Linked DNA regions of Oryctolagus cuniculus. The protein of the gene in region 1 purifies or fractionates together with the protein of each later gene. This does not show direct contact. Links are inferred from orthologs where the notes say so. Each region holds a gene or a part of one and is shown on either strand. Other genes may lie near its edges.

The links.
Region 2: the proteins of CAPZA2 (region 1) and MTCL1 purify together in Homo sapiens (affinity purification with mass spectrometry; 3 studies listed by BioGRID and IntAct, counting the BioPlex papers as one, with this or other methods). This does not show direct contact. The link is inferred for Oryctolagus cuniculus from reciprocal best matches to the Homo sapiens genes CAPZA2 and MTCL1.

Annotation. Positions count from the first base shown.
Region 1 is NC_091434.1:152,376,525-152,382,788, forward strand, and holds the start of CAPZA2 (F-actin-capping protein subunit alpha-2), read left to right. Parts: upstream 1-2,530; 5' UTR 2,531-2,630; coding exon 2,631-2,669; intron 2,670-6,264. UniProt on the Homo sapiens protein: F-actin-capping proteins bind in a Ca(2+)-independent manner to the fast growing ends of actin filaments (barbed end) thereby blocking the exchange of subunits at these ends.
Region 2 is NC_091441.1:65,828,586-65,834,849, forward strand, and holds the start of MTCL1 (microtubule cross-linking factor 1), read left to right. Parts: upstream 1-2,552; 5' UTR 2,553-2,916; coding exon 2,917-3,975; intron 3,976-6,264. UniProt on the Homo sapiens protein: Microtubule-associated factor involved in the late phase of epithelial polarization and microtubule dynamics regulation.

The sequences.
Region 1 (6,264 bases):
AAATGGTTTATTCTCTTTTGTGTCTTCTCCCTAATGTCTTGCCTTCGATAGGACACCTGCTTTTTCCTGCATGTTAGCAAGCTTCCACTTCCTGAACTCTCCTTAAATGAACATTCAGTAAATTCCTTAATGTCTTGTGGGGCCAGCACAGTGGCATAGCCACTGAAGCTGCCACTTGCAATGCTGGCATCCTGCCAGGGCATTTGTTTGTGTGCTGGCTACTCCTCTTCCAATCCAGCTTCCTGCTAATGGCCTGGTAAAAGAAGGAGAAGATGGTCCAAGTGTTTGAGCCCCTGCCACCCAAGCAGGAGACCTGAAAGAAGTTCCTGGCTCCTGGCTTTAGCCTAGCTCAGCCCTGGTCATTGCAGCCATCTGAGAAGTGAACCAGCAGATGGAAGATAGCTAGCTCTCTCTCTCTCTCTCTCTCTCTCTCTCTCTCTCTCTCTCTCTCTCTTTCTCCCCCTGTTCTTCTGTAACTCTGACTCTGAAATATATAATCTTTAAAATAATCATAATGTCTTGTATCTGAATAGTTACTTAAGCTCTTTACAGAACCCTTAGATATCACGTGCATCTGTCAGATTCATCTTGCTGGGCATTATTTCTGAGCATATCATGTCACTGTGGGAAAGTTTTCAACAGCTTCTCTTTTTCTACTGAATGAAGTTTTAACTCCAACCTAAACTAATGCCTTGCTACTTAAAGTATGGCCTCCAAAGCAGGAGCATTGGCATCACCTGGGAGCTTGTTAGACCTGCAGATTCTACAGCCCCATCCCGGACTATTGAATCAATGATACTCTCAAATTTTCCGTTTTCATAATTTATTTTTTAAATATTTTATTTATTTAAGAAGTAGAGTTACAGAGAGAGGGAGAGACAGAGAGAAAGGTCTTCCATCTGCTGGTTCACTCCCCACATGGCCGCAACAGCTGGAGCTGAGGCGATTTGAAGCCAGAAGCCAGGAGCATCTTCTGGATCTCCCATGCTGATGCAGAGCCCAAGCACTTGGGCTATCTTCAACTGCTTTCCCAGGCCATACCAGAGAGCTAGAGCAGGAGCTGGCACTTAGTTCAGCAATGCCCCAGCAAATTTAACAAAATCCCCAGCTGATGGCACATCAACTGTATCTTTACTCTCTTGTAAACTTGAAGCTTCAGAAACTGGAGTTGTGGCATAGCAGGTAAAGTCACTGCCTGCGACACCACCATCACATATGGGTGCCAGTTCCGGTCCTGCTGCTCTGCTTCCCATCCAGGGCCCTGTTAATGGCCTGGGAAGAGCAGCAAAAGATGGTCCAAGTGCTCAGGCCCCTGTTGCCTATGTGGGAGACCCAGCTGAAGCTCCTGGCTTCGGCCTGGCTCAGCACCGGCAGTTACAGCCACTTGGGAGAGTGAACCAAGGATGGAAGATCTCTCTCCCTCTAACTTTGACATTCAAAAAATAAATAAATAAAATCTTGAAGTCTCAGAAGGGTTGCCAAATTTCACATATGAAAGTAAAGAACATCCAGTAAAATTAGAAACGGGTAACTTTTCAGTGTATCTCAAATGCTTCATTGGACACTTTCTTTTAAAAAGCCATTGTTTATTTGTAATTCGTATTTTGCTAGTTGTCCTGTATTTAATCTGGCCACCCTATTAAGGATGGTAGGATCCATTCCCTGGCAAAAGTGCAGCGCCTCCCCCAACTGCTCAGTGTGTGTCTGAAGAATAGAGGAAGTGAGTTATTTGAAAAGAGAGGTTTTGGGGCCAGCACTGGTATAGTAGGCTAAGCCTCTGCCTGCCAGACTGGCAAATCATTTGGGCTCCAGTTTCTGTCCTGGCTGCTCCTTTCTCGATCCGGCTCCGTACTAATGGCCTGGGAAAGCAGTGGAAGACAGCCCAAGTCCTGGGGTCCCTGCACCTGCGTGGGAGATCTGGAAGAATCTCCTGGCTCCTGGCTTCAGATAGACCCAGATCTGGCAGTTGTGGCCATTTGGGGAGTGAACCAGCAGATGGAAGATCTCTGTAACTACCTCTCAAATAAATAAAACCTTTAAAAAAGTGAGATTTCTGCCTTTTTGCGCAACATTGAAAATCCCGAGACTAACACGATGCCCGGTGCACAATAAAAGACCAATAAACGTTGAACGAGTAAACGAATTTACCTAGCACAATCTCACAATTACGGACTGGGATTGTGTGTGCCTGTTTTAATTAAAGCCGAGTATTTATCTAAGGATCCTATTTGTACGCTTTTTCACATTGGAGCTGGCAGAGTTCAGGACTCGATGGGAACGAATCAAGAGCTCAGAATGTACTCGTCGCAGACGGGGCCCATATGGTCACTGGTGGGGAGAAATCCCCGTTCGTTCTCCGGAGGCTGACAAGCCTGCGGCAGGCAGCAAGCGGCAGGCGGCAGTCGGAAACGCTTCCCTCTCCCGGCTTCCGAGGCGCCCGCGCCTGCGCACAGCCGCACTCCGGGCCCCCAGGGCCGGGTTGAGGGAGGCGGGGCTCCCAAGGCGCGTGCGCGGCGGTCTGGGCGGCGGGCCCCTCCCTTGGCGGGGGCGCGCGACACGGAGGACCGCACCGAAAGGGGGAAGTCAGGTGGCCGCTGCCGCCGCCGCCACGGTCTGTCGCCAGAAGGAAGATGGCGGATCTGGAGGAGCAGTTGTCTGATGAGGAGAAGGTAAGAGCCGCGGGGGCGGCGGCGGCGAGGGTCGGTGCGGAGCCGGGAGAGCTTCGGCGTGTCACCGCCGAGTCTGGACGGTGGCGACGGGCTTTGGCCGACGGGCTGTGCCCTCGGCTGCCCTTCCTCCCCCGCCTCGCTGTGCCCTAGTGCCTGCCCCTGTCAGTCAGTCGAGGCCCCCGCGCGGGCGCCCGTCTCTGACGGGCCTGCTCGCGCCGCTCCTTGTAGGGTGTGTGCTCCGAAAATAGGAAGCGGGCGCCGGGCGGCGGCTGCGGGCCCGGCGCGGAGGGCGGGGGCGGGGGCGGGGGGCGCGAGCGGAGGGCGGCGGCTGCGCGGGACCCTCTGCCTCGGCGCCGGCCGCGGGGCCGCTGCGCGGAGCACCGGGGACTGCAGAGGGGGTCTGTGTTCCGGCCTGGGAGAGGCCCAAGGGCAGTGCCCAGCCCGGCGGCCTGGCCTGGAGCGTCGCCGGGGGTGAGGGGGAAGGGGGAAAATCGCTTAGGAAGCACTTGGGCCTTCCACTTCCCCCGCCCCATCGCCAGAAGGCTGCCTTTCCTCCTCCTCCTCCTCCTCCTCCTCCTCCTCTCCGGCTTCCCTTTTGCCTACGGAGGTTTCTTGCTTTTTCTTTGCTTCGCTTTCGCTGGAAGCCGTGCAGCTCCGTGTTCCTTGAGAGGGATCCGAGTTGCTCACAAAAAGACCCCTTCCCGTAGTTCTTTTCTGCCCCGGTGGGCAGCAGCCTCCGGAGGCGGGGGGCGACCTGGTGCCACCCCGTTTCTTCCTGCTGGGACTTCTTCCGAAGCTAGGCGGTGCAACTCCTTTTAACCGTGTGTTCGATGCTGTGACAGCAATGGAACCAGATGAGAGACTTAAGTCCTCAGACGTGTGAAATAAGAAAACCGATTCTAGAACTAATTCTCTCTTATTCGCCCGTTCCCTTTGGCTGCAGGGGAAGGCCTGGTTCTCGGGGATGGGCGGGGTGGGGAGGAACCCTAATAATTTTTGACTATTTCCTGGAGAGGACCTTGATGTTTCTCAGACTTAAAAGTATCTAACACGACGTGAATAAGATAGTGTGACCGTTTTGGAAATGCCCGTCTGTAACCATGCTGCGTGCCTATGTTCTCAAAATAGTAAGGTTTTGTAGGAAACACAGGCAAGTTACATTACGATGTTTCACAAACCCTAATATCAGTCTAAGGATACTTTTATTTCTTGTGTTCTTGCATCAAAATCTAAGATTCTCTTTCCCCAGCTGAGTGTGCAGAAGGCAGCTCTGTCTTCAGTTTTAAAAGTGTTTTCTGTCTATGAAGTGGTAATAAAGAAACAACAACAGAAAAAAAAAAAAGAGGAGGGGAGAGCAACAAGATTCTCCATAATGGACAGGCCCCTGTCGGAGATCCGGCAAAAGTTACTGGGCACTGTTCATATGTGTGGTATTGGTAAACAGGCCGGAGGTGGCAACTCAAAGTGGACATGAGCAAACACATGCATACACGGTTCAGTAGTGCGGTTTCTCGAAGAGATTGTTGTGCCTTTACTCAATCATTCTGAAGTGGTTGTTAGTAGTTCAAGTGGCTAAAAATGTAGTTGGGGAGAGAGTACTCAGTGTGGGAGTTAATACAGACCTGCCATGTGTTGCAAAGGTCCGGAATAGCAAAATGAGATGCCAAGATCCCTTATTATCTGGCACTCTGGGAGCACCAAGTTCCAGAAGGGGCAGAAGCTGGCCATCCAGCTTGCCCAGCATAATATTGGATGAGTGAGTGAAAATTCCAGCTTGGATTTTGGTGTTTCTGTTTTTATTCAGACTTTTATGAAAATATTCTGTAGATATTTTACATACAGATTTCATCCCTGTATATGCTAATTTAAGGAAAAAACAGCTCAGTCAGTGGAATTTTAATACTCGAATTATGAAAATGCTTTTTTCAATCTTTGGGGAGAAGGATGTTGGTAAGGGATGAGAAATTGTGATATTTTTAAACTTAAATTTAAATCATGTTACTCTTTCTGCTCCTTTATTTGTAAGCTTCGAAAACAACCTTTTTGTACTCTTAAGCTTTGAAATTTTCATTCTGAAAGGCAGATCTAAGGGAAGGGAGCTGTTAAGATTTGTGTAAAACCCTTTGTATATAGACAAATACATTCTTAAATTTGTTATGAACTTGAGGTGGGTAGTTTTTTTTTTGTTTTTTTTGTTTTTTGACAGGCAGAGCGGACAATGAGAGAGAGAGAGAGAGAGAAAGGTCTTCCTTTGCCGTTGGTTCACCCTCCAATGGCCACCACGGCCGGCGCGCTGCAGCCGGCGCACCGTACTGATCCGATGGCAGGAGCCAGGAGCCAGGTGCTTTTCCTGGTCTCCCATGGGGTGCAGGGCCCAAGCACTTGGGCCATCCTCCACTGCACTCCCTGGCCACAGCAGAGAGCTGGCCTGGAAGAGGGGCAACCGGGACAGAATCCGGCGCCCCGACCGGGACTAGAACCCGGTGTGCCGGTGCCGCAAGGCGGAGGATTAGCCTAGTGAGCCGCAGCGCTGGCCTAGGTGGGTAGTTTTATTATTACCATTTCACAGATGAGTAAAGAGAGGTTTTAAGAGCTTTAAGTAATTCTTCCAAGGATAACTAGGTAGAAAGTGGCAAAGATGGTAGTTGGATCCAAGTTTGTCAGAGTTCAAATTCCATGCTCTTGTGATACCATGTTCTTTTAAACAAAATTGGTTACGCGATCCTTTTCTGGGTTTGTCTCTGTTTTTAATTTGTTGACAATTTTTTAAAAAGGAGAAACAATGGTTCTTTTAAAGTAAAATTTGTAGATACCAAAGATTAAATAGTGATGACTTCTAATATGTTTTTTGGTTTGTTTTTTTATTATTTAGCACATTTAAATATTTTTATTACTGGTATAATTTCATATATGCCTTATAGTAGGAAGCATCTTAGAAACTGATCTAGAATAAGAGCTTTGCTTTTAATAATCATGTACAGTTACTTTTTAGGATACCACTAGTGAAACTTAATGACCCTGGGGTCAGCCCTGTGTTGTATCGGGTAAAGCCTGCAGTTCTGGCATCCCATACAGGCACCAGTTCGAGTCCTGGCTGTTCCACTTCCAATCCAGCTCTCTGCCATGGCCTGGAAATGCAGTAGAAGATGGCCCAAGTGCTTGAGCCCCTGCACCTGCATGGGACACCTGGAAGAAGCTCCTGGCTCCTGGCTTCGGATAGGCCCAGCTCCAGTTGCAGCCATTTAGGGGATGAACCAGTGGATGAAAGATCTCTCTCATTGTGCCTCTGCCGCTCTGTAACTCTGCCTTTCAAATAAATAAATAAATCTTAAACAACAACAACAACAACAAAACTTAATGACCTTTTCTCTTGGCCATCAGGTTAATAATATTTAGCTGAAGAAGCACATTGAAGTTCCTTTTTTTTTTTTTTTTTTTTTTTTGCTTTAAGACTTTATTTATTTGAGAGGCAAAGTTACAGAGAGGGGTCTTTCAACCACTGGTTCACTCCCCAGATGGCTGCAATGGTCAGAGGTAGACCTTTGTGAGGCCAGGAGCTTCTTCTGGGTCTCCCACTTGGGTGCAGGGGCCCAAG
Region 2 (6,264 bases), on another chromosome or scaffold:
TTGGGCTCCTGCACCCACATGGGAGACCCGGAAGAAACTCCTGGCTCCTGGCTTCGGATCTGCCCAGCTCCGGCTGTTGTGACCATCTGGGGAGTAAACCAAGGGATGGAAGACCTTTCCCTCTCTGCCTCTCTGTAACTCTACTTTTCAAGTAAACAAATAAATCTTCACATGGCTTTAAAAACGATTATACAGGCAGATCTCTTTAGACCAGAAACTCCCAGGATATTAGAAAGCAAAGCTTATTGAACACCTGCTTGCCATGGGCCAGAAGTCACGTCTGCCATGATCAGGAGGGTGGGTTCCGTTTGGCTGGTTACCTGTCGGAAAAGAGAGAGCTGGCTGCAAACTTCCTGGTCATCAGCCTGACATTTTGGGAAGACGCCCTTGCTGAAACATGTTTGGGGTGGCCTCAGGCACGCTTGCAGGCGCCATGCGGAGCTTGTAAGCTTGTGCTGAGTCCTGGGCATCATTGTTCAGGACCCTGAGGGTGTTGGGAGACACCTGGTTTCTGGGGGCATTGCCAGTGAAGGTTGGGGCTGGAGTTTCAGACCCACAGGGGCCGCGAGGGGATGGAGGGGGGAGAGTCAAGGCACCCTCCCATGGAGGGCCGGCTAGGCAGGCGTGCTGCAGTCACCTCTCAGGTCACCCACCCCCTCACCAGAGCCAACCAGTGTCCTGTTCTAGCCCTCCGTTGAGAGGGGGCTGAGGTCTTGCAGGTTCTGAATTAGAGATTTTATGGCACAGGTTACATGTTGTATGTGCTGTCTCCCGGTTCCCAGAGAAGCCACCCAGAAACACCAGAGACAGCAGCAGAGTAGGCAAGGTTTGGGTGCCCTCAGAGCTCAGTCCAGGACCAGGCAAGATGACTTCCGTGAGCACTGCTTTCCTGATTTGTAAGACGACTTTTTTTTTTTTAAGGAAGTGGCCAGGCTGAGTGATTCTGCAGAATCTGTGCTTCCTTTCACTTTCTTTCTTTCTTTTTTAAAAATTTATTTTATTTATTTGAAAGACAGAGTCTTTAGAGAGAGGTAGAGACAGAGAGAGGTCTTCCATCTGCTGGTTCACTCCCCAGATCGCCGCAACTGCGCCGATCCAAAGCCAGGAGCCAGGAGCTTCTTCCAGGTCTCCCATGTGAGTGCAGGGTTCCAAGCACCTGGGCCGTCTTCTACCGCTGTCCCAGGCCATAGCAGAGAGCTGGATTGGAAGAGGAGCAGTCGGGACTAGAACCAGCGCCCATATGGGATGCTAGTACTGCGGGCCAGGGCTTTAATCCACTGTGCCATAGCACCAGCCCCTCCTTTCACTTTCACGAGTCTGTCCTCTTTTCTCTATCCTTATTTCTGCTGTCCCCTCACCTGTGCTTATGGCTACAGCCATGACTACTTCCCTAGGCTCCAGGATGTGGTGCCCCCACCCTCCAGCCTCACCTACCTGCCCTCCCACCTATACCAGGCGCTCTCCCCATGCTCTGGATGAGCTGGGCTTTCAGTGGCAAGCCCCAACTGTCCTTCTAGGAAAATGGGACTCCCCCCACCCCAGGCTGGTTTAACCCCTGCACACCAGCACATTGGAATTATTGTGTGCCCTCTCCCTCCTGCCAATGCCAAGGCTACAGGGCAGCTTGCGCCTTATTCCTTTGGGTATTTATTGCCCACCACACAACACCTGTGCTCAGTGGTAGACACAAAGCACTTTTCGTTTGGCGCAGTGTGTCCTCCTATTTGCCCATTTAATCCTCACACACTCGGGTGGACTTATTTTCTGATCACACAGGTGAAGGAGCTAGGGTTCAGAAGGTCAGGTGCTTTGCCCAGGTGGCAGAACAGGACACAAAGCTCCAGGCTCTTGGAGCGAAGCGCCTGCAGGACCGAGAACTCCCGTGGATCTGGGTTTGGATCCCGGCTCGGCCCTGGGCCGGCTAAGGCACCTCAGGCGAGGGACCCCACAGCCCGTGACTGTGTCCTCACAAGTCATTCCAGCTCAGGACTGTTGGGAGAGATAACTAAAACAATGCCTGGCTTGCGGCCGGGACTACAAATGCGAGCTCTGTTCCAGACCCTAAGCTTGGCAAACCTCAGCTCCGGCTTCCAACAGAAGCGCCTCCCTCCCGGGGTGCCAGCCGCCCAGCGCCCTGCCCGCGTGGACGCGATCAGCGCATCGGGTACCACGGTCCTTAAAGGACAGGCCGCGGAGGGAGGGAACTGCGGGGTCCTGGGCGTGGCCGGAGCGCCAGTGGGGCGTTGGTCAGCCGGGGAAAGCGGGCGCCCATCGCACCCGCCGCAGAGGGCGCAGCCTCAGTGTCCTCCGGAGGCCGGCGCTCACCCACTAACTCCCCGACGCAGCTCCGCCGCCACCACGCAGGACATCAGAGAGCCGGCAGGGACCCGGGACGGCGAGGCCGCGTGGACTCCTCCGGCGTCCGCCCCGCGGCGCTCAGGCTCCGCCCCCGGCCCGCCCCCGGCCCCGGCGCGGCTGGCGGGAGGCGGGGCATGCGCAGCGGGCAGCGGGCGCGGGGCGCGCGCGTGCAGCCTTTCTCCGCCGGGAGCGGCGCGGGCAGGCGCGGGCCGGAGCGGGCGGGCGCCGTGGGGCGCGGGCTGGCAGTGGGCGGGGAGGCGGGCGCGCGCCAGCAGCGCCGCCGCGGGGCCAGCGCAGGAGTGAGAGGCGGCGGCGGCGCTCCCGCGAGCCCGGAGTCTAGAGGATGCGAGCGACGGTGCCGGGAGAACTGGAACGGCTGTGACCTCGGCGAGGCCAGAGCGAGGCGGGGATCCCCGGGGGGAATCGGGGGTGGGGGACGGCGAGAGCGCGGGGCGCTGCCGGGCGGGGCTGGGGACCAGTGATGAGCCAGCGTGCGAGGAGGCTGCACGCCGCCGCCACTGCCGCCCCGAGCCGCTGCCGGCGGTCCCGGCCCCGGCCATGGAGACGCTGAACGGCCCCACCGGCGGCGGCGCCCCGGACGCTAAGCCTCAGTCGCCCGGCCAGCACCACCGCCACCACCACCTCCACCCGCTGGCCGAGAGAAGGCGGCTGCACCGCGCACCCTCGCCCGCCAGACCCTTCCTCAAGGACCTGCACGCCCGGCCCTCCGCGCCCGGCCCGGCCCCGGCTGCCCCCTCCCAGAGCCGAGTCGCGGTGCCCGCCGCCCCGCGCTCGCCAAGCCTGGCGGGCAAGGCACCGCCCTCGCCGGGGCCCCTGGCTGCTCCCGGCCGCCTCTCCCGGCGCAGCGGCGGCGTCCCCGGCGCGAAGGACAAGCCGCCGCCGGGCGCTGGGGCCAGGGCGGCGGGCGGCGCCAAGGCCGCCCCGGGAACCCGGAGGGCGGCGCGCGCGGGGCCCTCCGAGCCACTGCCTCGGGCCGGGAAGCCGCCCGCGGCCGAACTGTCGCCTGCCGCCGCCAAGGGCCGCAAAGCCAAGCGCGGTTCCGGGGCGCCAGCCGTCCGCACCCTCGGCCCCCCGGCCCCGGCCGCTCGCGTCCCCTCCGTGACCCTCTCCGTGACCTCGGTGGCCGGCTCCCCTGCGCCGGGCTCGCGCATCAGCCACACGGACAGCAGCTCCGACCTCTCCGACTGCCCCTCCGAACCCCTGTCCGACGAGCAGCGCCTGCTCCCAGCAGCCAGCAGCGATGCGGAGTCCGGCACCGGCTCCAGCGATCGGGAACCCCTGCGAGGAGCGCCCACGCCAAGCTCTGCAGCTCGGGGGGCGCCGCCGGGCAGCCCCGAGCCCCCAGTGCTCCTCGCCGCGCCCCCCACTGCCTCTCTCGGGGGCCGAAGCAGCCCAGGCGGGGTCCCCATGGGGTCTCCGGGACCGTGTGCGGCGGAGGATGCTGGGGGACGCGTGCCGCCGGAGCGAGCGGTTCCCGGGACACCCAAAGAGCCCAGCCTGGGCGAGCAGCCCCGGCTGGCGCAGCTGCCGGCGGCAGAGGAGGAGGAGCTGCTGCGGGAGATGGAAGAGCTTCGCTCGGAGAACGACTATCTCAAGGTGAGTGGGCGCGGGTGTCCCGGGCGCGCCGCCGGAGTGTTCGCTGCTGCGGGCTGGGTTGCGCGAGCCCTGCACTTCCCTGCCCCTGCGCTCATTAGGCGCTGGGACTTTCGGCCAAACTTCAGGAGGGAGCCCGAGACCTGTGGGTCGCGCGTTCTCACCCGCTTAGCTTTTCTGGAAGTCTTGCTGTCTTTTGAGCGCGCCTTTTGCTTTTGTGGACAAGTTGGGGGAGAGATGGCCGTCATCCGTTTGGCTACATCAGCCGACCCTCACCTCCAAGCCAGTACCTGCCCCCTCACCTGTGGCAGCAGGCTTTGCCTGGCCGAGCTTTCTGGTCCCCTAGGTGCAGGTGTGTTGCAGTCCTGTGTAGGTTCTGGAAAGCGCAGGGGCCCAAGGCTGCAGACTCGCCTGCGGCTTCTCCTGCAGTTGCAGAAGGAGCTGGGGTCCCTCCCGGTCTCCTCTGGGTAGCACAGGCAACAGGGGGCCCTGGCGTTCATAGTGACACACCTGCAGTTCACAAGGGGTCCTTGGAGTGTGGCCTGCGTGGAGGAACAGTGGTGTTTTGCTGCCAGCCCTTTGCGCGCATGCACGAGCAGGTTTTTCTGTGTCAGGACAGGCCCTGCCAGCACTTTCTAAGGAATCACGGCTTCCACTGCACTCTCAGTGTTGTCCAGCAAGGCCTGCTAATGTGGCCTCTTAGTCTTGTTAGCACCGCGGTGCTTAATCTGGCTCTGTCCTTTTTCCCTGGGGAGGAGGGCTGGGCTGGAGAGGCAGAGGGCATGGAGGGTGCTGGGGAACCAAGACATTGCTGGTGACTTGAGAGGGAGCAAGCCAACTTTGAGTTTATTGTAGTCCTCAGGTTAGTAAATGACTCCAGTGGTGTAAGTCAATGTACTTCTCTGTTAAGATCTTAATGAATATCCTCCCAGACTGGCCGGGTGGCCCTGCTTTATCAGTAGGTTATGGGAGTTGAGCTGTTTGCTCAGCAAATGATGAACCTGCTGGCTCAAGGCCCAGTTTTCGGCCAGTGTGACTGAGGATTGGGTTTTTAAGGTGAACAGTGTTGAGGGCTTGCAGTGCAAGCTAGAATCAGAACACATTAACTGCTGAGCAGTCCTAAAGCTAACCCTCTTATCGGGAGTTATTTTATCTTGTGCAGAGTGAGGCAGAGGAAGAGAAGAGAGGGCAGATTGGGGATTGGAGCAGGGTGTTTCAAGTAGTGTGTGTGTGTCACCTCCCGTTATGTAATAGACTACCGTGCCAAACCCCTAGGTGTTGGGGGAGAAAAGGCAACTCTGTTGTACCGTGTGGCGTGGCTCTATGGTGAGAGCAGCCCTGGTACAAATCCCAGCAAGTGCGAGCTGAGCTCCCCGAGGGTGAGAAAGATCATCTCGTTCCCTCGTGTAGCCTCAGCTCAGAGCGCAGTCCCCGGCCCACTCCACCCAGCGTTTTCTCCTGGAGTCATGTTTTCCTGAATCAGGACTGCTGGGCAATAGCAAACTGATTTTCTTTCAAGAAAGGGTGTTTCTCGCAACATGTTTGATGTCAGGGTGGGCGATCCAGCTTCATGTCAAAGTGCGTTCGTGGGTGCCTGGTAATTTGCTTTCTCTTTCTGGTGGTTGGATTCTCAGTGACCCCGGGGTCTGTGCTGTTCTGTGTGACTGGTCAGTGCTTCTTCACAGCACGCAGGCTGTGACTGCCTCTGTGTTTATCACAACTCCAGTTTCTCAGGAGAAACTGAAACTGAGAACCAGAAAACTTGAAGGGACTTCAGCCGAGGTAACGAGTAAGCAGCGCTGCTTCTGTTTTCTTTCCTCTGCCTTCCGCTGCACCAGGCTTCCAACAGGCCTGGTTTCTCACCTACACCGCTTCGGAGTTGTTGTGTTAGCTCGATGTGGTTCGAGGTTTTGGCTTCCCGAGGGCTCCTGTGTCTTCTCTCTAGGTGCAGGGGCCATCCTGGGCACCTCGCCACTCGCCTGGGCGTGAATGGTCATGGCAGTCCCACCAGCAAAGTTTTTTTTTTTTTTTTTTTTTTTAAGATCTATTTGAAAGTCAGAGTTACACACACACACACAGACAGAGAGAGAGAGAGGTCCTCCATCTGCTGGTTCACTCCCCAATTGGCTGCAACGGCTGGAGCTGTGCCAATCTGAAGCCAGGAGCCAGGAGCTTCTTCCTGGTCTCCCACACGGGTGCAGGGGCCCAAGGGCTTGGGCCATCTTCTATTGCTATCCCAGGCCATAGCAGAGAGCTGGATTGGAAATGGAGCAGCTGGGTCTCGAACTGGCG